Caenorhabditis elegans: one gene and its partners. The protein of the gene in region 4 interacts with the protein of the main gene of each other region in a pairwise test. Each region holds a gene or a part of one and is shown on either strand. Other genes may lie near its edges. The genes, in order: aly-3, spk-1, C27H5.2 and nfm-1.

What was found.
Region 1: the proteins of nfm-1 (region 4) and aly-3 interact in a two-hybrid assay, tested with the Caenorhabditis elegans proteins (one large-scale study listed by BioGRID).
Region 2: the proteins of nfm-1 (region 4) and spk-1 interact in a two-hybrid assay, tested with the Caenorhabditis elegans proteins (one large-scale study listed by BioGRID).
Region 3: the proteins of nfm-1 (region 4) and C27H5.2 interact in a two-hybrid assay, tested with the Caenorhabditis elegans proteins (one large-scale study listed by BioGRID).

Annotation. Positions count from the first base shown.
Region 1 is NC_003282.8:12,121,467-12,125,310, forward strand, and holds aly-3 (Chromatin target of PRMT1 protein C-terminal domain-containing protein), read left to right. Parts: upstream 1-1,815; 5' UTR 1,816-1,847; coding exon 1,848-2,055; intron 2,056-2,105; coding exon 2,106-2,225; intron 2,226-2,272; coding exon 2,273-2,364; exon of another isoform or gene 2,365-2,780; coding exon 2,781-2,907; intron 2,908-2,957; coding exon 2,958-3,133; 3' UTR 3,134-3,343; downstream 3,344-3,844. Other genes in the region: M18.6 (CULT domain-containing protein), read left to right, coding at 1-136, 187-412, 460-1,011, 1,061-1,301; dhhc-6 (Palmitoyltransferase), read left to right, coding at 3,486-3,608, 3,656-3,844.
Region 2 is NC_003281.10:9,455,754-9,463,517, forward strand, and holds spk-1 (Serine/threonine-protein kinase spk-1), read left to right. Parts: upstream 1-1,774; 5' UTR 1,775-2,230; coding exon 2,231-3,270; intron 3,271-3,347; coding exon 3,348-3,462; intron 3,463-3,515; coding exon 3,516-3,764; intron 3,765-3,870; coding exon 3,871-4,179; intron 4,180-4,230; coding exon 4,231-4,470; intron 4,471-4,764; coding exon of another isoform or gene 4,765-4,941; intron 4,942-5,312; coding exon 5,313-5,393; intron 5,394-5,439; coding exon 5,440-6,162; intron 6,163-6,209; coding exon 6,210-6,310; intron 6,311-6,353; coding exon 6,354-6,507; 3' UTR 6,508-7,254; downstream 7,255-7,764. Other genes in the region: rheb-1 (GTP-binding protein Rheb homolog 1), read right to left, coding at 1-57, 184-256; B0464.6 (uncharacterized protein), read right to left, coding at 7,368-7,571, 7,629-7,722. UniProt on the Caenorhabditis elegans protein: Required for embryogenesis and germline development in both adult hermaphrodites and males. SR-protein kinase (SRPK) that binds directly to and phosphorylates the RS domain of rsp-3/CeSF2 in vitro.
Region 3 is NC_003280.10:7,153,717-7,161,468, forward strand, and holds C27H5.2 (TAR DNA-binding protein 43 N-terminal domain-containing protein), read left to right. Parts: upstream 1-1,864; 5' UTR 1,865-1,966; coding exon 1,967-1,991; intron 1,992-3,334; coding exon 3,335-3,427; intron 3,428-4,150; coding exon 4,151-4,273; intron 4,274-4,316; coding exon 4,317-4,442; intron 4,443-4,534; coding exon 4,535-4,638; intron 4,639-4,703; coding exon 4,704-4,979; intron 4,980-5,025; coding exon 5,026-5,108; intron 5,109-5,157; coding exon 5,158-5,260; intron 5,261-5,307; coding exon 5,308-5,519; intron 5,520-5,567; coding exon 5,568-5,676; intron 5,677-5,792; coding exon 5,793-5,896; coding exon of another isoform or gene 5,897-5,933; exon of another isoform or gene 5,934-5,967; coding exon of another isoform or gene 5,968-5,989; exon of another isoform or gene 5,990-6,293; intron 6,294-6,677; coding exon 6,678-6,747; coding exon of another isoform or gene 6,748-6,795; exon of another isoform or gene 6,796-6,898; intron 6,899-6,990; coding exon 6,991-7,131; 3' UTR 7,132-7,245; downstream 7,246-7,752. Other genes in the region: fust-1 (RNA-binding protein FUS), read left to right, coding at 376-413, 621-759, 805-1,414, 1,463-1,567; C27H5.12 (Ferrochelatase), read right to left, coding at 7,632-7,752.
Region 4 is NC_003281.10:6,157,764-6,165,102, forward strand, and holds nfm-1 (FERM domain-containing protein), read left to right. Parts: upstream 1-1,725; 5' UTR 1,726-2,115; coding exon 2,116-2,337; intron 2,338-2,467; coding exon 2,468-2,683; intron 2,684-3,029; coding exon 3,030-3,248; intron 3,249-3,324; coding exon 3,325-3,459; intron 3,460-3,506; coding exon 3,507-3,641; intron 3,642-3,716; coding exon 3,717-4,019; intron 4,020-4,062; coding exon 4,063-4,212; intron 4,213-4,313; coding exon 4,314-4,401; intron 4,402-4,873; coding exon 4,874-5,144; intron 5,145-5,255; coding exon 5,256-5,430; coding exon of another isoform or gene 5,431-5,442; exon of another isoform or gene 5,443-5,635; coding exon 5,636-5,851; 3' UTR 5,852-5,856; exon of another isoform or gene 5,857-5,863; intron 5,864-6,529; coding exon of another isoform or gene 6,530-6,580; 3' UTR 6,581-6,822; downstream 6,823-7,339. Other genes in the region: F42A10.9 (Gamma-glutamylcyclotransferase family protein), read left to right, coding at 6,889-6,980, 7,040-7,136.

The DNA of each region.
Region 1 (3,844 bases), on a different chromosome or scaffold from region 4:
GTTGACGTGACTCACAGATTCGATTATGCTCTTCAAGACAATGAAAATAGAGAAAATTATGAAAATGAAGCCAGACTCACAGATTATGGAACAAATTGGTTTCCGATTTGTGGAGTCAGTGCTGTTTGTTTTCCTGGTGAGTTACATTTAAAAAGAAAAACCTCCCGATTTCATATTAGTTTACAGGGCAACAACTCCCGATGAAATTCCACGATGATGAACGAGAAATCTATGAAAGACTTGTATCGAGTGCTCGAGCTAATGGATTTGTTGTACTGTTTCCATTGGATATTCCAGAATGCACATCACTCCCATATATTGCTACACTTTCTAGAGTTGTTCAAGCAAATTCTAACGCTCTGAGTATGGAGTTGATGGGCGTCTACAGATGTAAAGTTTTGAAGTATAATTTGTAAGTTTTACGAAACATAATTTCCTTCTAATTTCTTTCAAATTCAGAGGGCGTGGTGAAGCAGAAGTACAATTGCTACCAGACGTCGAACTTCCATCGTTACTTCCATCATTTATTCCGAAATATGCAATACATTTACCTGCTCACGAAAAACGTTCAATTGCAACCCGAATCAATGGATATCCATTCAATGCTATTCGAGATGTTACAGAAAGTGCTGTGAATGAATGCGTGGGACTACTTTCAGGAATGCTTGGAGATGACACTGTGAGACAAGCTAAAGATCGTGGCCTCACATACTTCAGCTATTTTGCTGCAAAGCATATTTTCTCTAATCGGCTAACTGAGTACAGTCTCTTGAAAGAAGATTCAGCGAACGGTCGTATAGTTGCTGCTCTGAAGTATTTCAAAGTATTTGTCGGGAGATGTTCTAGATGTCGCATTCCAATTTTCCGCAATGAACATATCATGAGGCTTCCAGATCAAACAATGACTCATGTTAATGCTCACGGATTTGTTCACAAAATTACCTTACTGTCAGAAATACGAAACTATGATCGAGCTACACCACCATCATATGAATTCACATGGTTTCCAGAGTCAGCTTATTCAAATACCTCTTTATCATTAAATTAGTCAGATTTTCAGGTACGCATGGATTATCATTCAGTGCTCCAGATGTCATGAACACCTTGGATGGGAATATATCAGCATGACTCGTGAACCACGACGCTTTTTCGGAATTCAACGAGAAGGAATTACGTTTCAAAACGAATTACAAGAAGGCGATACAGAGGAAAATTGGGATCATGTTCCAGAGTTTGACAACGATGATCAAGAAGAAGAAGATGATGCGATGAATTTTATACGGTTAATTCTGCGTCGATGAATACTGTATCCTATTTAGTTACTTTGCTAGATATACATCACTGGTCTCAAAATAATTTTCAAGAATGATTTTTCGTTGCCAATTGGCCTTAAGAAGTAATAAACTTTTTGTATGAGCCACTCGTTGTGTCGTTAGTTTTAAATACTTGTTTCCATCCTTTTTCTTACTTTGAATTATTATTTGAAAAACGTTAAAATTTCTCTACACTGATTTTAAGCTGTCAATTTGTTTGTTTCCCTAATTCTCTGCAAAAAAATGTGTTGAGAATTTTATTCAAATAAGAGGTAACGTATGCTGTTGACCGCGTTGCGTACGCGTCGCGGTCACCAAACGCAGCGTTTTTCTCAGTTTCCTCATTTGCTCATTCCTATCTTTTCATTCATTATTTCTCATTCCACTTTGGTCTCCGCTACATTTGCTCTTCCGAATAATTATAATTTTTTTCTTTGTTTTTTCCCGTGAACTTACTTTTGATCTTAAACCAAATGTTGTCGTTCTAATTCAATTGAAAAACGTTTCAGTTTCAACTCCAACAATCTTCGAAAAATGGTTAAGGCTACCAATGTCGATTTGTCTCTTGAGGACATCATCTCTAAAACCAGAAAGACAACTGGAAGCATTCAAAAGAAATCCTTCGGAGGAGCTCGACGAGGAAATACGAGACCCACTGGACTTCCACGCCGCTCCGGCGGAAGTGGTGGATGGAAAGACTTGGACGCGGTTCAGAATCATGGAATTTCAAGCAGAGGAAATGGTGGGTTTCAAATCAATATGTATCTTATTTTCTACTCATTTTGATTATAGATAGCAAGGTTATTAGAGTAAATATCTCTAATCTTGCCCCAACAGTCATTTCAAGCGATTTGGAGGAACTCTTCGGCGACTACAGACTCAGCTCAGTTTCGGTCAACTTCAACGAGCATGGTAAGCTTGATAATATATGCAACCGTATTGAACCAATTTATTTTCAGGTGATTCATTGGGTACTGGTGACATTTCGCTCACCAAACGTGATGCTGAGAGACTTGTTCAGAAGTTTAGCGGTGTCGCTCTAGATGGAAAGGTATTGCATTGGGATACAACAAATCGATAACAAAGACTTTGAAACAATCAATTGGGGCTGAATCCTGATTAAAGTGTGTGCTCCAGCGGACGCTCCTGAATGCGTTCTGTTCTTCTTCTACCAGTTCACAGAAATCTACTGTACGCAACAACAGACCCAGGCAATCAGAATCTCGTTGTTTCCTTTCAAAAAGAGACTTAATAAACCTGTGTTGAGGTTTTTTTGTTGAGTGTGGCCGTTCATTCGATGAAGCTCGTTGAAATTAGTTTTGACCCGTGTCGTGAGATGGATTGTGAGGGGAAAGCCGTTGCTGTCGACACGCATTAATTGATTGGCTCGAGACTTGGTTATTCAAGATTTCTCCGTTACCCAAATCCTGATCTCAGGTGACACAAAATGGAACATGAATATTTCAGATCATGAAATTCGCCGTCATTGATTCGAGCAACATGGCTGGGAGAGTCGATTTTGGAAACAGATCTCGTAGTTCACCGGGAAGATCATCTCGTGGATTCCAATCGGGTCCTCGCAGAAACAATGGCAGTACGTTTTAATGATTAAATTGTGTTCACCAGAATAATCTTTATTTTCAGAACCAGAAGATTTCCTCCGCGACGGAGTGCACGCCGGTGACATCAAGAGAGGCGGAGCTGGTCGAGGTGGATTCCGCAAGGGAGGCCGTGGTGGAGCTCGTGATGCAAAACCAAAGAAGACCGAAGCTGAACTCGACGCGGAGCTCGAAGCCTACATGGCGAAGCGAAATGCCTGAGCACTTTTTTTTTAAACTATAAATCACTTTTTGAACATTCTTGATATCTGCTATAATCTCTGATCCTTCTGTTGTTCTATCACATTAATAACTCGGAATATTTTACACAATCACCAATTTTTATATTTATCGTTCTACTACTTTCCTTTCTCGTGATCTTTTTGTCCACATTTTAAAAATTCGATAAAATAATAAACTGAGCGTCAATAATTTCTTATTGGATCAAGTATGAAGTCGATTTTCGATGGAAGAATATCGTTGTCAGTTATGTGGATTCACCCAGGTCGCCACAATTATGTTCGAAATTTGATTTAATTTTAAATATTTTATTATTGAAATTTAATCAATTCAGATGACGGGTGAGGTGGTGGAGACTCCGGATTGGCCTGCTCCAATTGCAGAAATTGGAGATAAGCCTGTATTTAGACGAATGTTCCATTTTGGAACCATTTTTGCATTCTCCACAATAACCATGGTATTTTTTATATAATTTTGATCATTATAAAATAATATTTGATTCAGATTGGAGCAGTAACAACATTTTTTGCTCTTCAGTGGATGCCTGTTACTTCATACATGGGACTTTTCAATACACTAACATTTTTATTGTGGAATTATTTAACAATAGGAAATCTCTTCAACGCTTCATTCTTCGGTCCAGGATATGTGCCACGTGGCTGGAGACCAGAGAATGCAGCCGACGAGAAGAAA
Region 2 (7,764 bases), 3.3 Mb from region 4:
ATTCATACCTTTCAGGGAAAATATTTTGTGTGAAACGAAGTACCAACGCCGATTTTCCTGTAAAGTTTCTCAACGTGAATGTCCTTGTTTAAATAAAGTTGTTTTAATTTTTTCATTGCTTTGTTCAATTTTGCTCCCGGTATGTTTGATTTTCTACAAAAAAAAGTTGTCGTAAACGCTCACCAACATGAGGATATCCCATAACGGCCACTTTTCGATTCAGACTCTGACGATTTGATTGCAGCGAACTGCTCATCTTCACAAAAATGAGTATATTCTGAATATTGAATGATTGAGTTTTGATAGAAGTATAAAAAATTAATAAATAAAATAAAAAGGGAAAAGTAAAAAAATTATTTTTTTAAACACTCATCATTATTTTTAAATTCTCTATTAATATTTAACATGTAGAAACAAAGAAATGATGTACTTTTGCAATAATATGCGCTTTTTTCCTGATAAAACGAACTAAAAACCAACTGTAAATAGAGAATTGCAGGCGAGAGAGCGTGTGAAAATAAGAGACGGAGGCGCATGATACACTTCTTGGCAGCAAGCCAAACCCACCGTACCCAAGCAAACCTGCAGATCAAACTCGAGATCGATATTTCTGGCGCAAAACGGCCGCCAATTTGAGCCCTCCGCGTTGAAAGCGTTATTATCATTCGAAATTGGCATAGGTCTTATCAAGAATTATATTTTATGTTTGTACGGGCAGATATAATCTTTTTATCATCATTTTTGTTGTTCAATTAACCTCCGCAAACTTTTAAAAACTCAAAAACATTTTCCTCTGAAGTGTTTTCTTGTTTTCCCCGAATTTTGATGAGTCCTATTTTATTTATTTGTATCAATTTCAGTGAAACGAACCGTGTTTAAGTGTAGAATATGGGCGGACCAGAAAAAAACAGCACAGTACCACTGCCAAATAAGAAAAGGAAGAAGAAGACCAATAAGAAAAAGGTGAGCATTTTTCGGTTTCTGTTCAGAAGTTTTCCCTTTTTCTAAACACTTACACTTTCGAAAAATTAAAGCTCAGTCTGTTCTGACACTAAATCGAACCCAAAGAATACTCTTTTTTTCTAATGGCCTCTAGAGATTTGAAAACTTCAAACAGCTCTGTCGCATTCCCTTCATTTCACGCACTTCCGAGCTTACTCTCTTGGATGCGAGCCCTCCACTAATATATTCTCACATCAGTTTTAACTTAGATTTCTCCTTTGCCTCAAGTAAAATGAGAACGGCTTCATTATGAGCCAGTGGCAGCCGCTAATGACCCAGGGGTAGAGATAACCACTAATTTTCTTTTCTTACACTAGTTTTAAAACAAAACAAAGTGAAAATTTATGAGCATGCTTAGTATTTTGCATTCAATACATTGGCTATATCGCCGATTGAATGTGAGTTTAATAGAATTCTGCCATTAAGCTTTTTTAATCTTCATATTTCAGCCCACAGCACCAAACACGCCTACATCTCCTCAAGCGGGTGAGAAAAACGCAAATTTGAAAAATGGAACAGTTACAACAAACGGATCAAATCACGTGGAAAGGTGAGATTTTGAGTTTTTTTTTTTAATATGCTTTAATTACATCGCTGAAACCGGGACCAAAATGATTATAAGTTGTTTGGTGTAATCGTTGCATCGTCCTTTTCTCATGACAGCAACTGGTTGTCTTTTCACTTCGTCTCAAATGATCCCACCTTCGTGTGTCCGTCATCCATCCACCCATCCATCCATTCGTCCCTTCTTTTCTATCTTCTCTATTCCTTCACCTTGGCCTTTTCTCTCTGTCAGCTGTCTCCTCTTCGCGACCTGGCCGACAAGTTGAAGATTGAAACAAGGAAGAGAGACCCAGGATTTCCTCTATCTCTTGTTGGGCGCCGCAATCATTACATCACTATCACTTGAACACTCTTCCTTCTCACACCGATCGCGTTTTCTTCAAGTCGCTCCTCGCGCCTCGTTGGCCGCCGCCAATATTCTCGAGACACTTCTCGCGCCGCTGATCTTCCTTATCCCCCTTCCCACTCTCAAAGCGTCGCAACTCGCTTCTACGTGGTCGCTATTTCAAAAAAAATCGCCTGCTTTTGAATCCAGTTTTCTTCTGTCAGGCTGGCCGGTCGAGCAGTACATTCGCTCTCAGCTATCGATTACTCGGGTATAACAAATGATGTCGAAGCAGGCGGCTCCTTCAGCTTAACTGACGTTTTCCCCACTGTCATATTCATGTTTGTGGTTCTATTCTGTAGATGGCTCAATGGCTTCAGCCAGCATCGAGAACGACTTTATAAATTCGAAGATGAAGCCGTTCAGAGACGCCGCCGTTTTCGTGTTCATTCAGAGGAATCGGAAGAACTGAATGACCACGAATCGTATTCTGAAACTGATATTTGTACACAGCTTTTGGCATCATCTGCAGACGTAACCTGTCATATAAATGTTGATTTGGTCAACCAGAATCGATTTTATTTCTTTGTAAAGCAAAGAAATAAAAAAGAAAATTCGACCAATGAAGAAGAAGAAATCTCTTCCCAAGAAATAAATACGAGTACACAAAATGAAGAGACAGAAGTTAATTTAGTGTTCGCTAGTGCGGAAGATAATGGAGGCGTCGCGTCGAATTTCGATATATCAGACGCTCTAATGGTTACCTCTAACATTTCCGAAGTCAGTAAACTACCGGAAACGTTGTGCGAAGAGGGTGAAACTGTACAACAAAAAAGTGTTGTAAATGAGAATGATCATTCGAATGAGGACGATGAACAGTCGCTACAATCACAAGATGGTTCAAGATGCTCTGATGAAGACATGAACTCTTGCGTATCTGCCTCAGATGAAGAGGACGTTGAATCTCAAGATGATTCTTTTCATGTGAATGATGCTACCGAAGAATCAATTGATTCGGTAAGCTCTATTGAATCACAAGAAGCAGAAGAGTCAGCAACTGAAGATTTGGCGTCGTGTCATTCGAACGACGATAAAAATGAAAAAGATGTTCTTGTCGATGAGGACACATCCAAATACGATAACCTTCCGGTGGAAATGCGGTCAGCAAAAGAGGGTGAAGAGAGTGAAGGGACGATCGATTCTTCAGTCTCCTCGTCGACATCGTCTTCCTCAACGGGCGACGACGGGGACGACAGTGCTACCTCTTACGACTCAGAAGATATCGAAATTCAGATGTTCGAGTATGATCTGGGAACCGCATGCGCTTCAGCTTCTATTTCTATTCCTCGTCCATCTATAATTCCAAGAAATAACAAAAAGTAACATTTATTTTCCATTAACTAAATTAGTATTACTAATATCAATCAGAAACTGTCTTTTAATTTACATTTTTCAGGACCGAAGTCAATGCTAATGAAGAGCGTTTGGACGATTTAAGTGTGAGCCCCGGACGAAGTGATTCTCCTGGAGGCGGCGGTGGTGGACATTCAGATTCATTCCAAGATCCAATGGTGAGTTGATTTTTGCATTTCATTTTTTTGTATTTATACATATTTATTTTCAGGATCCTGGAGAACAACTTGGATCTGACGATGAAGAACAAGAAGATCCACGTGATTACAAACGAGGTGGATATCATCCAGTCAACATTGGTGATGTATTCAATGCGAGATATCATGTGATTCGTAAACTTGGATGGGGTCACTTTTCTACGGTTTGGCTGGCGTGGGACACTCAAGACAAACGATTTGTTGCCATGAAAATAGTGAAGTCAGCGGAGCATTACACGGAAGCGGCTCTTGATGAAATTAAGGTTAGTTTTGAAGTAACGTAGTGCTGAAACAATAGATTTTTATGCAACATTCTCTGAGACTCGAGAAAAAAAAATTAAGACTAATATAAAACGAGAATAATTTCAGTTGTTGCTATCCGTACGAAGTGCTGATCCAAATGACATCGGATGCCACAAGGTTGTTCAATTGCTCGATGAATTCACTGTTACGGGAATTAATGGTCAGCACGTTGCTATGGTGTTTGAAGTTCTTGGGTGCAATCTGTTAAAGCTGATTATACGCTCAAATTATCGAGGACTTCATCTGGAACAAGTTAGGAAAATATGCAGACAAGTTCTGGAGGCGTTAGGATATATGCATGAAAAGTGCGGCATCATTCATACTGATATTAAACCTGAAAATGTGCTAATCACGATGAGCCGAGAAGAGATCAAGGTATTTTTTAAAAACCATTAATTGTGGAATTAATTTTTCAAAATTTTACAGATTATGGCTCAACATGCTGTAGTTGCCCGGAAGATGAATATGAAAATGAGTGGATCGGCTGTCAGTACTGCACCGGATCATTTGGTGAAAATGGCTCAGGAGAATATGACGAAAAACAAGAAGAAAAAGATGAAGAAGAAGGCCAAAAAACAACGAGAGAAGTTGGAAGCGGAATTGGCTGGACTCGAAGGCCTCAAAATGGACGCTAATGGGCTGCAGGAGGCATACAATAATGCACCGGTAAGTTGAACACTATACCGTTCTTCTTCTAATAGTATTGCACCCCAATACTTGAATTTTTAAATTTGAAAGAATATATCTCTGTTCATTTCAAAGATATCATTTCACATTTTAATTTTGAAACGATAGAAAAAGAAATAAAAAAGTATTTTCTTAGTTGACAAACATTGGAAAAGTTTCGATGTGCAATAATAATAGAGGAAATACGCTGGTAATTTTTAAAAAATCAAGATTATACTCTATCAATCATAATTTTTTAAAAAACGAAACAAAAACGATAAAACTGATATATAGCAAAATGGTGTCCGAATGCGTCCTCCATCTTTGCTCTTCAATGGTCCGATTCCCCAACTGCTTCAAGGCAGTTCTTGTGTGAATACGCCATCGTCTCCAAGAACGGTTCCACCGCCACCACCATCTCTCTATCCACAGGTTGGATGCGTCTGCAATCAGACGTATCATCTGACACAGGTGATCCTGAATGCGAATGTTGGTGTGAGTGTTTGGTTGTGTTGACATGATGATGGTTCCCTTCTACTCTCTCTTCCTCGATTCACACACTTATTTCCACTCTGCAACCAAAATTACCGGAAGACGCTTGTATATTCACACGTACCTCATTTCTCCTTCCGTTTCTTTATTTTAAAATTCACTGACTATTTAGTTTCGGTTTTTTTTGCCGCTGCGCCCTGGATGCCGTCTGCATTTTTTCGTCGTTTCGTCTTTGTTGCAGAAAATACATCAGTGCTGTATCTAATTTTTATCATATATAAGCTTAAACATGTTGTGAATTCAGTTTAGAAAAAAATCTGAATCAATTAATTTAATTTTTATTTTTTCAGGAGTTGGAGAACTTCAACGCTTCACAAGTGGAAGATGTCACCATGGAAGATACTGTCAATGAAAATGGAAACAGAAACAAGGTATGATATATTTCATTTTTGTAGCCACAACCATTTATATTTTCAGGTGGAAATCAGGAGCCCTGATCGTTTCGATAGAACCACGCTGACTCCATTCAGTGATCCGGAGAGCAAGTTTGGAGATTTGGCCTCACCATCCGCCGAATATCTGAGCTCGCCCATGAGCCAGTTGCCTCCAGGTGGTATCCTGCCTGCTCCTCCAGTTGGCCCCAACATTGGTGATCCATATTGTGACATCGACGTCAAAATCGCTGATCTCGGAAACGCGTGTTGGGTGAATCATCACTACACGGACGATATTCAAACTCGTCAGTATAGAGCACTTGAAGTGTTGATCGGTTCAGGATACGGACCTCCAGCTGATATTTGGAGTACCGCGTGTATGGCTTTTGAATTGGCAACCGGTGACTATTTGTTTGAACCACACCAAGGAGATAACTATTCACGCGATGAAGATCATCTTGCGCACATTTCCGAACTTCTTGGAGCAATTCCACCGTCAATTTACAAAAAGGGTAAACATTGGAGAGAGTTCTTCCACAAAAATGGACACTTACTTCACATTCACCAACTTAAACCATGGTCACTATACGAGGTTTTGAGACAAAAATACGAGTGGTCTCATGAAGACGCGCAGCAGTTTGAAAGTTTCCTTCGTCCGATGCTTGATTTCGATCAGGAGAAACGATCTACGGCCAAAATTGCATTGAAACATCCGTTCTTGTTACCATTTGGAGGAAGAGCGCCAAAATCTGATTGTCCACCTGAGGTTTTATATTAATTGTCTGTTCAATATTTTCTCTATAATTTTTACAGCTTCTGAGCAAGATGTTTCCGGATGGATTGATTCCCGAGCCGTTCGACGGAAATGAGCATCAGGAAGTTTACCGTGACGAAAATGATAGTAGATCGGCGAGGTTCGTAAGCTCGGACCGACGCGGATGTAAACGCAAATTGCAGCGAGAGGAGTGCCAATAGCAGGTCTGCGGGCGGCAGCGACGACGACGACGAGGAGGAGTTCAACATGAATCGACCTGGTCCATCGGGGGTGATAACAAACAATGAAACGACCGACATTTCTGACATTGAACGCTTTCAGCTGGATTTGCAGTAGTGCACGAATCCCTCCTGTTTGTTAACACTTCCATCACCGTCTCGTCACTCTTCAACGCCCTCTTGCACATCTCCCGAGTTAAACATGTTCTCCTGTCAATTTGACGATATTCATCTTTATGTTTTTCCTTTTTTCAATCAAATTTTACTCGTTTCTTGCCTACGATAGGTGAAAAGAAAACACTTCGGGCTAATTTTTTTTTTCAGCATTTTCCAATCTTTTGTTCCAGAGTGTTTACTTTTATGTTTTGAATCTAGACAGTGTTTAACTTATTGTTTCGGATTTCAACAATCATCCGACTACTTCATCTCCCCATTCTCCCTGTCACTTTCTACATCGAATCACCGCATCCTTTCTCTTTTTTACCACCGTTCTTCCTGAAGTGACTGAGCAGTAAGCACGTTTAGCGCCACTCTCGTGCGCGTCTCGTTGAAGCGCCTTTTGATCTTTAGTGCTACTGGTATAATATAATTATTTTGTACGAACATCGTCCTTATCCTCTGCCCAACAACATCATATGCTTCTATCAGCCTCAAACAGTAGATCATCTTTTCCCCCCATTTCTTTTTCATTTATATTCCTCCGTCTGTTCACATACCCAAACTATTTGGCATAAACCTTTCTCAAATCTTTACTGTGCTTCATTGCTTCCTTTCCCCTTCTCTCTCTCTCATTATCTCGGTTTCCTCGTAGACATAAATGATTGAATTTTGTAACGTTAGCGAGATAAAAAATAATTGATTCATGTGGGTGGTCGTCGAGAGATCGTAACAAAAGAACAACAAAACAAAGCGGGAGAAAATAAAAACCTGTTAAAGGATACGATAATAAACATCATATAAAAACTTGAATTGAATTTTTCACGCCAGGACGTATGTCATGTTAATTCCTGATGGTCCGATTGAGGTCTGATCCAGATATCCATGATTTTCATGTTTCACAAAATGAATAAATTGAGCGATAGCACGGAAGAGATTGGGTGATTGACGGAGAACGTTGCACTTAATTGCATATCCATTTTCATCAATGTGCACAAATTCAGCGTGTGGAGGAGATTTTGTAACCTGAAAAAACATTTCTTGAAGTGAGGAGGAACAAGAGTGAATTATTATAAGCCATACCATGTGAAGATAGAAACTGAATGGAGTACGTTGAGCAGATGATGGTTTTTGAGCATTTTTGACACAGAATCGGCTGGTGAATGGCTGGTCAAGGCTGAAAATTGATTTAATTTTTAACACAATTTATTGAATTAAA
Region 3 (7,752 bases), on a different chromosome or scaffold from region 4:
TAAGTTTCATGAAAAAAGGTCAGTGTCCGCAATGAAGCACAAATTCATTGTGCTTTATCGATTTGTAGGGCTATGGCCCGGTTTCCTTCAAAATATTATGCAGTTCAGCTATTATTACGTGTGTTCGGTATCAAAACGAGTCAAGAGTGAAGAACAAATGAAGTCTACCAAACGACTTCGAGCGTGCAGGAGATGCTTCTGTCTGAAATCTCTCATGCTTGAAAAATCTTAAAATCTAAATGATCGTGTTTGTGCGTACAAAAAAAAATCAATTGAAGGTGTATTATTGCGCGGTCGAAATCTGAAAACATTTTACTGTGGTGTTAGCATGAGAGAAGAAGACAGAAGACTCCATTCAAGAATGATGTTTTGCAGACAGGGCGGACCTCCAGGAGGAAGAGGAGGTTATCAAGGTATTGAATACGTAAATTGCTTTATCTTTCGTACCACAACGAGTTTATTACCAAAATTAAAAAAAAATGGGTATCCTACCGAGTTTATCATCGAAATTCAAAAACAAAAAACATTAAACGAATATAAAAATACTTGTTCCTGTGCTTTATATTATTGACAGTTGGACGAAAAAATTGTTTGTAAAAGTTTTCATATTTTCATTGCAGACAGAGGACCCCGACGTGACGGACCACCAAGTGGAGGAGGATACGGAGGCGGTGGTGCTGCTTCAGGAAACCGCGAATTCGGATCCGATGGGCGAGTTGAGTTGAAGGAGACCGTCTTTGTGCAGGGAATTTCCACCACGTATGTTTTGTAATCGCCCAATTAAAAAATGTATCTATATTTCAGTGCAAATGAAGCCTACATCGCCGACGTCTTCAGTACCTGCGGAGATATTGCAAAGAACGATCGCGGACCGAGAATCAAGATTTACACCGATCGCAACACCGGAGAACCAAAAGGAGAATGCATGATAACATTCGTCGATGCTTCTGCAGCTCAACAAGCTATAACTATGTACAATGGGCAACCATTCCCTGGCGGCTCAAGCCCGATGAGTATTTCACTAGCCAAGTTCCGCGCTGATGCAGGAGGTGAACGAGGTGGTCGTGGTGGACGAGGCGGTTTCGGAGGTGGTCGTGGTGGTCCTATGGGAGGACGTGGTGGCTTTGGCGGTGATCGTGGAGGATATGGCGGCGGCGGTGGTCGTGGAGGATTCGATGGTGGTCGCGGTGGTGGCGGTGGATTCCGTGGCGGAGACCGAGGAGGATTCCGAGGTGGTGATAGAGGAGGCTTCCGCGGAGGAGATCGTGGAGGATTCCGAGGCGGCGACCGTGGTGGCGATCGTGGAGGATTCAGAGGAGGCCGTGGAGTAGGTGGCGGAAATGCTAATATGGAACAAAGGAAGAATGACTGGCCATGTGAGCAGTGCGGAAATAGCAACTTCGCTTTCAGAAGAGTTAGTTAATTTTGTTTTTTCAAAAAAAAAACACGGGTTTTCTTCTAGGAATGCAATCAATGCCAAGCCCCGAGACCAGATGGAGGATCCGGAGGTGGTGGTGGCGAGCGACGAGGAGGACCACCAGGAGGTGACCGATACCGTCCATATTGAGCCATCAACTCGTCTCCCCATAAATTTTAACATCTAATTTAAATTCTCTGATCTCTTCAATGTGAGAGACTTGTAACAATTTTATATCCACCTTTATATTCTACTTCGATACATTCAAATTTCAATGTTCTTTTTATATTTCATTTTTTCCCACTTTTTATTTTTAACGAAAATAAAAATTTTTGCACATTAACATCTGTTTTTTTTGCAATTGTCCGCATTTCCCTACCCATCAGCTGCTTTGCGTGTCACTGTCTGTTTTCTCTCCGCACTTCATCTCTACGTCACACTATCTGCTTCTCCATCTCTTTCGTCTCGACCTCCCTTTGCCTCGGCGCCCACCTCTCATTCTTCCAATTTACCCGGGAGAGACTGTCCGTTCGAAACTTCGACCGACTAATGAGCAGTATTACAGGACTACAAGGTAAGATTCGAAGAAATCGCTATGAGAATAGATTTTTAGTAAGATTATTCTCGCATATTCAGAATAAAAATATAAAACTATCAATGAAAGTTATTTTAGATTCAGAATTAAAGTATAGTTCTTAAACTTTATGATTGATAGGCTCTACGAACATTTAATTTGAAGATAAAAACGTAGAAAGTTACATCGTAATTTAAATAGACTCTGACATGCCTTCACAAAGGCACACGGATTTATTCAGATGGGTCTTCGCGCGCAAAAAAGTTAATGGTAGTTTTTTTTAAATTAATTTTCATTATAATTTTAAATCTGATTCTGAATAACCAGTAGTTTTTATTGAAAATAAACGCAGTCGCTAAAATCCAAAAGCAGACTACCATAAACTTTTTCGCACACCAAGACCCATCTGAATATATCCGTGCGCATTAATCACAACCAAGGGTGTCAATTCCCGTTTCCCGTTTTTCCCGTTGTCCCGTTTTTGGGGTGTTTTCACGGGAACGGGAATTCCCGTTGTCCCGTTTTCGAAATTTTTACGGGACATTGACACCCTTGATCACAACAGCTGTTTGATTTTCAATAATTACATCTATGTAGTTGCACAAGTATTCAATTTTGAAAATAGTTTTTTTGTTTTTGAACTTTCCTATTGAAACTATTTGATAATGGTTAATGAACATGGGTCTCGCCACGCTGACAACGGGTTACTGTAACTCGTTAGAACTTACAGGTAGATATTACATCATATTTTTGTTTAATACAATTCCGCCACCAGTACCTCGTTTAATTTGAAAAGGTTGATACAATCTCGGTCCATAAATTAATATGAGCTACAGTAACTCGATGTCCGCGTGGCGAGACCCATGCACGTAAGATATGGCGAAAATTCTAATGTGCATAATAGGAATTCAATTTTTAATTTTTTTTGTGTGGTTTATTTTATATAAATACTCTCCTCGCTTTCAATTTCATTTTTTTAATTTTTCAAACTCAAAAAACACACATAGAAACACATAGAAACAAGAAGCTCTTTAAACATTTTCAATTCTTTTGTCCTTCTCCTCATTTTTTCTCCGGCACAATGAGCTTATTCGGTCATGTCAATGTCTGAGTCTCTATATCTTCAGTTGATATTTTGCCTATTTACCCAATGACCTACGAATCGTGTTTCGAATCAAAAACTTGAAAAAATTTGTGTTTGCCTACATTTTTTTGCCCCACACAATTTCATCTTCTTCAATACCCGTAACTACTTATATAATTTGGTTTCATATCTAATCAAACAAGTAATAAAACGGAAGGAAGATGGGAGATATTTAAAAGTAAAATAGATATGTTTGCAGTTAAATCTCTTCGAATCGGGGTGGAACCTGTTGAAGTAGAGTTAGATGAAGATGCTGGTATCTTGTGGACTTCACTTCAAACTGCATTTCCAGGTGGGTTACTGTAACGGAACACAAGAAGATAATGCATTTTAATTTGATGCATTCAGGCTTGTGTCAAACAAAAAACTTCTAGAAAAAATAGCAAGAACATTTGGATTTGGCAGTTGTAAAACATTTTTAATCAAATCATAGACAACCGAGAAGCTAATAGAAGAAAGAAGACAGTTCTTCAGTTTTTCATAATTTTTGTGACTTTTTTCAAAATAACAATCAACACGAGTACACTGTAGGTACTGTAGCCAGAAATTTCCAAATTCTTGTTGAATTTTCCTTTTTGTGAATGTTTTCATTTGACAACACACAAACTGTATCATTTTTTGATGATTCACGTGAATTTCTGCTGACAAGACAAATAGATAATAGCGGAACAGTCCGTGTTATTTTTGTTACCACACACCCCTCTGATGTAGGCATCAAACATGTCACCTCACCCATAGAATTGTTATCACTTCTCATTTCTGCTAACCTTTTTCTTGGTTTATTTCAATGTAATCAAATCGAATCAACATGTATGCAAAGTATGCGAATAATTGCAAAAGAATTGGCGCCCAAAAAGAGAGAGAGAGAGAGAGAGAGAAGAAGAAGCTTTTCTTATCTGTTACAGTCTGTGTCTTATTGATCCGTATATTTTCTCAAGGGTTTTACAGAAATTGATAGCAGCAGGAACTGGAGAGAATGAGAAAAAATGAAAATAAATAGGAAAAAAAATTACAGGATGTTCTGGGATGTACTACCGAGAAATCGGTGACTCATGCAAGAAATCAGTGAAATTTGATGGAAAAAAGTTTATGGCTCCTGGCGGAGCATGGAATGATCGAGAATACTTTGTGACTTTGAGTAAGATTTACCACAAGGACATACCGCAAACAACTTTGTTTAGGTCAAAGATGTCATACAGCTGCTGGAAATTCGGGACATACTGCTTCTTACAGCGACGCCACAAAACAATTTGAAAAAAGTGTGCAAGCAGTGCAGAAAATGATGTTGGCTTCTGGAATGAAAATAGGTGAGAAGGGTCATTCAGCACATAATTTTCATAATTTTTACCATATGAAATCAATTTATTCCTGAAATCAAACATACAAACTGCTCTTTGAGATATGAGCCATCTTACAAAGAAGCGCCAACACACTTCTTCTCGTGAAACAGCTTCATCAACTTCATCATCTACAGTAACCCCTGATCCGATTCAAGCAATTGAGGTAGGTATCCTTTATTTTGACATTTTTATTCACAAAAAGATGTTTTCACAAAATCAATTTTTTAGGAACGCTCACAAATGTTGAAAACCGCTGGAAGAGAACTAAGCCCATTGGAACAACAATTTTTGGATTTATGCCGTATTTCAACTGCGAAAGATCAGATTATTGATGCCAATCGACAGGAAATCACAAAGATGAATGAAACGTTACGAATTTTGGAAAAAAACTTGAAGGAGACCGAGACAAATTTATCTGAAGCAAATGCGATGGTTGATTGCAAACAGCAGGAATTGGAAATGGTCAGTGAAGCATTAAAACGATTGGAAGAGTCGAGGCATACTGTAAGACAAAGATTTCCAGTTTCAAATATTTATTGATAATTTTCAGATCAGCGAGTTGAACCGAAAATCTGGAAATTTGGAGGAAAATGTTACCGAGCTGCAAATGAAATTGATGAATGTAGAGGAGGAGTAAGTGGAGGTGAATAGCAAACGTTTCCATATTTCACTAGTATTTCAGAAATCACGGACTAAAAGCTCAACTTGAAACAAGTCACAATAGAATAAAAGAAATGTCTGATACTATATCAATGCTTACTTCATCAAAGGATATTTTGTCAAAAGTAAGAACAATTGTTATTCAGATTTCAATAAAATGTACCTACTTCAGGAACTGGATCAATTGAGACCATTCGCAGATGCAGCTGGAATTGAGGATTATGAGAATATCCCAACGTTTATTCACGCAATTCAGGAAAATAAGGAACTTCGGAAAACAAATGAAAATATGAAACTTCAATCAGAAGAAACAAAAGATAATCATAAACAGATGCAAAGTATTCATACAGAGGTTTTCGAGGAAAATGCTAAATTAAGGAATAGGTTAGATTGATGGAGTTATTACAAATTTTTGGAAAATTTATAATTTAGAAACGAAGATTTGGAACGAAGATTTGCACATGTTGATGATGAACTCGCTTGTGTGAATGAGAATTGGGCAAAAGAACTGAAAGAGAAACAACAAGATTGGGATAAAGTTGTAAGTTTCTACTTAAAAAATTGAATCGAAATTGGGCGGGATGAAAAAGAGACTGTTAGAAATCCATTTCTAATGTTTAATAGTTATTTTATGCCAAAGAAATTAATTAATTTCAGAAATACGCAGCAGAATCAGAAGTGTTATCTCTACGTGAACAACTTGTCCATCTTCAATCAATTCTTGAATCAGCAACCCGGGAAGCAGCAGAAAATGCTCGAAGGTCAGCTGATCCTCTGCTCGAGTATTCTCTTATCTAGATCACTCTTGCATTTTTTCTATTTTTTAATTCAGAAACGTCATCTGGGACTGGTAGATTCGTAGACTTGGTAATTGATAATTCGAATATTTTTATTATTTTTAAACCATAATCTGAAAGAAATCTTAACAGTCTCAGTTGATAAGTAACCAAAATAATTGATTGAATGCCCTGAAAATGCACAAATTTTCGTTTCCTTCCAACGTACCTGGAACGTTTTGATCCATATTCCTTTTATCTCACTTTTTCCCAAAAAATTCCGGTTTCTTCCGTTTAACGGTTTTCCTTCTCGGTTATGCTCAACCCTAATCAGTTTTCGTATTTGTAAATAGTTTTAAAATGAATAAAATTTTTGGATTCATAACCGTTTTTGTTCAATAGCAAGGAATACCGTTAAATGGGAGAATCAACTGCAATATCATTTTAAAAATCTGTTATTTTATAGGCCACTTTTCCATTCCAGCACAGTTTTTGAAAACTTTTTGTCAAAGTTTTGGCAAATTGTCTCAAAATCCTGGACTTTTTGAGAAATTTATAAGGACATTTTATAGGGCATTCTTGATTATCAAAGCTCTACTAGGTTTGAACATTAAAAAAAATATAAATAGTAGAAAAGACAGTTTTTGGTAAACTTCCAAAATTGTAGTAGCTGAAAACTATTGAAAATTTATGAATATTTTTGCAAAGTTTAATAATAGTTGTGAGATTTAATTGTTTCAAGAGTGTTAAATCTGAATAATTACAGAGTATCAGAATTGGAACATGAACGTCATGAAGTTCGACGTCTCTCCGATGCAATGCATATAAAAGCTCAGGTGAGCGGCAGTCCAGTCCATCGTCTGTCGTCTTCAATTCGCTTTTAACTAAAAAAACCCATTTGGCTTATCATTTCATTATGAATCAATTTCACAAAATCACGACACATATCTGATTATTTTAAGTTCTCAATAAATTATTTTTATTTCATGTTTTTGCTGTGAAAAGCTGATTTTATGTTTGCATGGCTTCGCTTTAAATAATTTCAAATATCTAACATATTCAATTTCCGACTATTCCAGGAAGATCTAGCCCGTCAAGTGAGAGTTTTGAAAGAAAGACTCGCAGAATCGGATAGTCAAGTTGCTGAGCTCAATGTGCTTGTTTCTTCGTTGGCAGCAGATGCCACAGCTTCACGCAGAGAAATTTCAGATCTTTTGTAAATAATTCGATGAAAATATTTGATGATAATCCGAGTGTGCTTCAGTTTCTATCTAAAAAATAACGGCGTAGATTTAGAGTATGTAATAAAGAGTTTCTTCACTGACTTGTAAAAAGTATGAACAGTTTACATATATGATTTAATTTTTATCGGTACAAAAACTATACTGATTTGGGCTAGTGCTAGGTCTAAAAATTGCTTGATAATGAGAAGTACTGTGTTTTTTCACTACAATTCTTGCTGGAAAAATTAATGTTGAATGGGAAGGACTGAAAATAGTTTTAGCAGCACAGAAGTTTGACTAAGAAAAAATTATCAATGGGAAAAACTGAGCCACCTTTCATCGTAAAATCAAATCAAAAACGAGAAAATACGTTTATATTTATGAATAAATTGAAAGTAATAAAATATATAAAGGCACGTAATTGAAAAAGGTTAACAACGGAAGCATTTAATCAATTGATTGGCATTCTATTTTGTTGAGTGTATTGAATATTTTCTTCAACAAGTTGAACTCGAAATACAAATCCATACCCTTAACGGTATCAAGGGAAAAACATCTTTCGATACATTGTTCAAAATCTTGTCCAGAATTATTTCATTATCAAACACAGCGTTAATT
Region 4 (7,339 bases):
AATATTTTAATTTTTTTGAGTCCAAATTTTTGAAAAAAAAAATCAGAAATATAACAAGGAAACAAAGCACTTTTAAAAGTCTATGTATATCTCTATTTTCTTCCGCTTTTCACATGTTTGTTTTTCCCTCAAAATCTCCAAAATTCTTAAGTTTACTCCTTTTTTCCAGAAAAACTCTAATATTTAAGTGATAACACCCACGCAGAGTGCAATTAAATATCGATACAACAATTCATTATCATCATCAAATAACAAACAATTAACAAATGAGGCATCGACACTCTCGAAGTAGCACAAAAATTGAGTGAGGTGGCTCTTGCACAGAGAGCGAGAGCATAAGTGTGTGCTCTGGCTCCGCCTATTTTTTCGGAGCTCTGGGAGAGAAGGATAGAGAGAGAGAGAGGGAAGAAGGGATTTCCCGAGGCTCCCGGCAGGAAGTGTTGGGAGCCAGACAGTGGGAGCAGGCACAGAGTACGAAGAGCAAAGTGGAAAGATGGGAAACAACAAATTATGTTATGAGGAAGTTTTTTGGCAGATTGGTTATGAAACTTTGCAGAACTTTAATGCGTTACTGTAAATTTAAGGGAAAGTAGGTTCCATCGAGCGTACTTACGAAAATTGTACTGTAGCTCACTATCAGTACACTGTACTTTCGAAACATTTTTCTGGATTTCATCTTTCTGGAATTTTTGAATTTTCAATATGGAAAAAATGTACTTAAACTTCATTCGAAAATTATATGACTTCAAAGGAATAGGGAGGTTAATCGAAAAGTTACTGAAGTTTTCGAATTTTTGTTGGCCATTTTGCTTACACAAGTGCGCCCCACTTCACACTGATGTCTCTTTTGAAAATATAATAATAAGTCAATCGAAAAATACCGATTGTGTGAATTTTTCTATACTGTCCCTATTCCCCCTTTCATCTCCCCCCATTGACCACTTCTCCCCATCCCCTCCTCCTATTATGCGTAACACCCGGCATGTCTAGGCCACGAAAGTTGTGGTTCGTCGTGCAGTCATGTCCGAGTGGTTAAGGAGATTGACTAGAAATCAATTGGGCTCTGCCCGCGTAGGTTCGAATCCTGCTGACTGCGTTAAATTTTTTTCAATTTTTTCGCACATTTTTTTCGTTGTAACTTCGAAATTGTACAAAATGAAAATATACTTGATAATAAACCAAAACGTGCAGTCATGTCCGAGTGGTTAAGAATGTCCGAGTGGTTAAGGAGTTTGACTCGAAATCAAATGGGCTCTGTCCGCGTAGGTTCGAATCCTGCTGACTGCGAATCTTTTTGAATCTCGTCAGTCGATGTAACTTTTGTATCGAAACCATTTGGAGAAAAACGATGGAGGAGGAAAGGGCGTGTTGACATTATTTTATTTATCGAAAAACTGAAAATTCTTGTTCACACGAGACCAGGCCACATATTTTCACAATGCGTCATATCAGTTGGGGGCATTGAATCATTGTTCTTCAATATTTTTATCAGTTATTCTTCAATGAATGCACCTGGGATTCCATACCTATCATCATTATGAGTGTTGAAATATTGTTTCGTCCTCTCTTCCAATCATCTTCTCTTGTTGTTAGTTCCAATGCCTCTCCTTCCTCTCATATGTTCTAACACTTCTTGTGAGACAGACAGTTGGCATAGAGTTCCTCGACGCAGATACCTATACAGTTACAACACTATTTGCCCTGGGGCGTACTTACATTGATTTTCTTCACTTTTCTTAACTATTTAACATACTTTTTTTAAGATGGGCTTCATCTCATTATTGATTTTTCACCCTAGAGAAACCAATTCAGTACTTCGGAGACTATAGAACTTTTCTAACTTTCCGAAGTTTTAAACGGAAATATTGGAATCCACGTTATTTTCTAATTGCCTCAAACTGAAACTATCTGAAATTTTTATTTTCAAAGAAACTAAAAAAGCAATTTTAGTATCTGAATTTTTGGATGTTGTTCTTACTTGACGGAAAGAAAATACGTGCAATACGTTCATGTGCAGACAACGGTCTTTTTTCAGAAATGAATAATAGTTGCTAGTATTATTTTTTTCTTAAACTTCCAGGCTAATTTCACCTACAAAAATTCCAAAAAATAGCAATGGGTGGATTTTCGATATTTTCGCGAAACACGAAGCCCATTTACGCAAAAGTGAGCACAATGGATGCTGATTTGGAGAAGATTGTAATTGAGAAAACATGGACAGGAAGACATTTATTTGAAGCAGTTTGTCGAATTATTGGATTACGGGAAACTTGGTATTTTGGACTACAGTTCACAAATAAAAAGAATATTCCATGTTGGTTACAGAATGATAAAACTGTGAGTTTTTGTTGAATACATTTTTGGGGATACGGTATTTCCAACAATAAAACCAAATTCTAATTATCAAATTAAAATATTTTGGGAAAAATAATTTCTCTGAAAATAATTAATTTTTGAAATTTTCCAGATCTGTGGCCAAGACATCCAAAAAGACACATCTGATGGAACTTTTAATTTCTTATTTCTTGTCAAATTCTATCCAGAAGACGTGGAACCTGAGATTATTCTAGATGCCACTAGACATTTGTTCTTTTTACAAATACGAGAAGCAATACTTTCAATGAATCTATATTGTTCACCTGAAGCAAGTGTTTTATTGGCCAGTTTTGCAGTTCAAGCAATGGTAAGATTTTTGTATTTTAACTGGGTTTTACAAAATATGAAAATGCCATTTAAATTCCTTTATTGAACTTTTAAAAGATCGTCAGTTGAGAAAGTGTTTAAAATCACTCATAAAATTTTTAATATATTTCTGAAAAATTGAGAATTACAATATCGAAATTTACCAAAACTTTTGCTGTAAAATTTTGAAAATCTAAAATTTTCAGAAAGGATATTTGAAGAGTATTTGAAAATCCCATTTTCTTCCAGAAAAATTGGCAAAACATTTTCAAGTGCCTGAAAATGTTTCTGAAAAACTATCTATATACACTTTATTCAAAATCTAGTAAAAACGAATTAATTTTCAGCATGGCGACTGTACAGAAGAAGTTGGTCCAATTGATCTTGACAAGCATTTACCAAAAAGTGTGATTGATCAATATGATATGAGTGCTGATATGTGGAGAGATCGAATAAAACGATGGTGGTCACGGAATGCAGGACAATCAAGAGAAGAAGCTGAACTTGAGTATTTGAGAGTTGCACAGGATTTGGAGATGTATGGAATATTATATTATCCTATTTGTGTAAGTTATTTGAGAGATTCTGTTTGAACGGTTGTGGACATTTGAATTTGAGATACATAATTTTATTTATTTTCAGAATAACAAAGAAACTGACTTACATCTTGGTATATCCGCTCAAGGGTTGGGAATCTATAAGGGAGTGAATCGAATAACACCTCGGCCGTTTTTTAGTTGGAGTGAGATTAAGAATATTCAATTTAAGAATCGAAAGGTAATTTTTTTAAAATTTTCTTTTCACGATTTCCATTGTACGTTCAGTTTCACATGAAAACCGTCGACAAATCCACAATATCATTTCGATCACGAGAGACATCAATTGATTCTTCAATATTGGATCTTTGCATTGGAACACACAATTTGTATTTAAGGAGGAGGCAGCCAGACACGTTAGAGGTATGTGTCTTTTATAGTAGGGCAACTTGAAAATTTCTATTCAGTTTTCTACGAAATGATAACTGTATATTTCAGGTTCAACAAATGAGATCACAAGCAAAAGAAGACAAGCAACGTCGAGCAGCAGAACAAGCAAAAGTTGCATTGGAACGAAAAGAGAGGCAGCAAATGGAAAAAGAATATAAGGAAATGAAACAAAAAGTTGAAGTGATGACTTTGGAATTAATGAAAGCTCAAGAAAATATACGAAAGGCAGAAGAAGCGAATGATCAATTAGCAGAGAAGGCACGACACAGTGAACATGAAACTTTGATGTTGTACAAGCAAAAAAGTGAAGTTGAAGCTGAATGTAATCGATTAAGTATGAATAATATGAAGGTAAAAAATCAAATTAATTATGAAATTAAAGTTTAATTTTCAGTCCGAAGAAGCTCTGTTGAGAATGGAACGAAAAGCTCGGGAAGCTGAGATTTTGGCAAAGCAGATGTCAATGTCACTAGCAGATGTAAGCCTTGACGCGAATCGGAAAATGACACAGTATTCGAGTCAGTCTGCGTTGATTATTGATCCGGTAAGTTAATGGAAAATCTTCCCATTTTGAGTAAATCTTGACAAAACCGTAATGGGATTGATAGAGGATATACTCGATTAATACGGTTTAGAAACTTTCAGAATTGGCATCAACAAGTATCTGGTCATCAATCAGGTCATCCTGGTATGCCATCAACAGGATCATTTCATCAACTGCAATCACTTGACAGTTAGTTTTTTTAAAGGCACAATAAAAAAGTCTATTCCAAAATAGTATAGAAGTATAATATCTATAGCAACTTTTGCATGATAATTTTGGCAATGGGCGTAAAACTATGTTTAAAAGTTAAGAATAAAAGTTTGCCGAGTCAAAAAAGTCTAGATCACATAATAAAAACCGACCCCCTAATCAGTTTATCGAATTTTTTTTTGATTATGTAACTTCAACATTTTCTCACAGCCAGGTATTTGCAAAGTTGCCTCAAAAAAGAGAACACTAAAAAATATTTTGGTAATGATATTATAAATTCAAGATCTTCAAATGAGAATGTGTCTAGTTGTAAACTAATTTATTGTTTGTAATGCCAATTTGGGAATGAAATCGCAAGCCAAGTTGCTACTGTTTTTGACCAATCCACGTCTTGTTAGAAATAAGAAATAAGAAAAATATGATTATATTTATACGGAAACAACATTTTCAGCACACACTCATCCTCAACAAATGATGTCTCGAAGTCTGAATATGCCATCATCTGCATTTTCCTCCCCAATTCCTTCAAATCAACCACTTTCTCATCAACAACCACAACAAATGTCTCAAAATACTCAAGCTCATCAACAACAAACTCAAGTTCAAAATCAGAATCAACCGCCATATTACGGAGGATCTGGTATGATTATTCCACCACCCGATCCTTCAATTAGTCAGATTTTCGAGCAACAGACTACTCTGATGGAGTTGGAAAAATCAAGGTTAGTTTGGTAATTAAAAAAAAAGGATAACTGAATTATATGCTAGCAGAGTTGAGCAATGGAGGTACAATCCTAATAGAGAATAGTATGTGACATTAGAAATTTTTTCAGGTCAGAATACGAAACACGAGCGCGAATCTTCAAGGAGCACCTGGAAGAATTACGTGGCGATATTGACGGCCTGAAACGAGACGGTAATGTACAAAATGGGCAGCATCGAGAGCATGATGCGGTTCATGCACAAAATGTGGCACACGGTTTTGATAAGTTCACGACGATGAGAATGGTAAGTAGATAATTTAGCAAGTTCTGTTAGCATGCTACCGTTCTGAACGGTTACTAAGCTGATCTCATGATCAGAAGGTCAAAAGTTCAAAAAGTTATTAAATCTCTTTTTCATCCTATTCTATTATATGTTAAGCTTCTAATTTATTAAAATTTCGCGCGTTTGGCATTTGTAAGTTTGACGCTTAACTTCGGAATATCTCCAGAAAAAATCAAAAAGCGCAAGCTCAATTGGCTCATCGGGTTCCTCCGATTCCTTGGAGCTCAATACTGTCGCTAGACATGTGGCGGGACGAGGGATTCCACGTGTCTCTACAGTATCCACTACGAGCTCGTCAAGTATTCTGAGCCACGTCATGATGCTGCATAGACAGCAGTCTTATGATTTGGGAAACACTGAATGGCAGGAAGCTGACATTTGAATATAGTGAGAAAATAGTGCCAGAGTTTGATTGTTGTGTGGTAGAGCGTGTTTGCATATTGACTAATTTTCCAATTATTGTTTTCTAACACTTGTTGATTGGTATTTTTGTTAGAGTTGAAAATAAACATTCATGGTTCAAGCGCTCTATGAATAAATTCAATAATATGCACACTGTAATTGTTTTTTTTTGACTTAAAATTTAAAAATCAGGAATCGCAACAATGAACGCAGCGCGAAAAATATTTCTTAGAGCGCAATCGTTACGTCGGGTACTGACACGAGATTATTTTTTCCGCTACAGTATCCAATAGTAGACGTTCCATCGTTTATTTGGAAATTCTTTTTCTTGAGTTTTTATGTTTTTGTAGTAAACCTATTCAGGGAAAATAAGATTTTCACAACAAAAACTCGAAAAATTTTTAAAAATAGAAAGAAACAAGAAAAAGCAAAACCCAGGGTACGGTATCTGAAAAGTTTCGCTCGCGCTAAGACTTTATTAATTTTATTAATTGATTCAAAAAATCACACATTTTTTAGTGAAACTATATCTTTGAATTTCACAAACCTGTCCGTCGGTGTATTTTGTTGTGATTTTTCAAATTTTGAAATGAACATTAGTGTGGTATTGATTGATTATTCTTCTCATTTTCCAATTATAATTTTCTTATAATTTCAGAGTATGCGAGGAACTCCACGACAACGAGCACAAGCTTTTGATGGAATGTGATAAGAAACTTTATGGCCATTTATGAACCGATTTTCCTTTTTTTTCTTCAGTTTTTCCCCATCCCGATAAGAGATAACCCCATTTTGTGCTCATTCAGTTTATTGATTTTTCCACACCCTTTTGCCATTTTTCAATCAATAATCTTTCGTGGCAAGACAAAAACGCGTATTTTTCTTCTTTTTTCCGAAAGGCATATTGTGTAAATATACATATCGAATGATTGATGAATACAGATTTTTTTTAAATGTTTTTTTATTAACTTAAAATAATGAAAAAATCTGTAATTTATTAATTCATTTCCAGCAAAAATGGGCGAAAAATTCAAGGTTTTCGTGTATGGAACCCTGAAAACAGGAGAGCCAAACTACAAGGTTCTGTCAGAAACTGACGGAGAATATCGGTAAGTTCGGGAGTACTGAAGAATTTTGAGTGTCAAATGTGATGCATTACTTCTTTCAGATTCATCTCATCTGGAACTACAGTGGAAAAGTTCCCATTGGTAGTTGGAACCAAATATAACATTCCATTTTTGCTTGATGATGCTGGGAATGGAAATGTGAGTTTTACAACCTGAAGTTTATTTAAACCGACGTACTTTGAAGCATATTGACAAGTAATTAAAAAAAAAGAACGAGAACGGAATCAGCTTTGGCAGGGAAACAAAGATGAATAAGGAAATTTTAAAGAAAGAAACAGAAAAATGATTATGCGCACGGTTTAAAGGGAGTATAAATGCCAAAAACTTGTTTAGATCCGAAA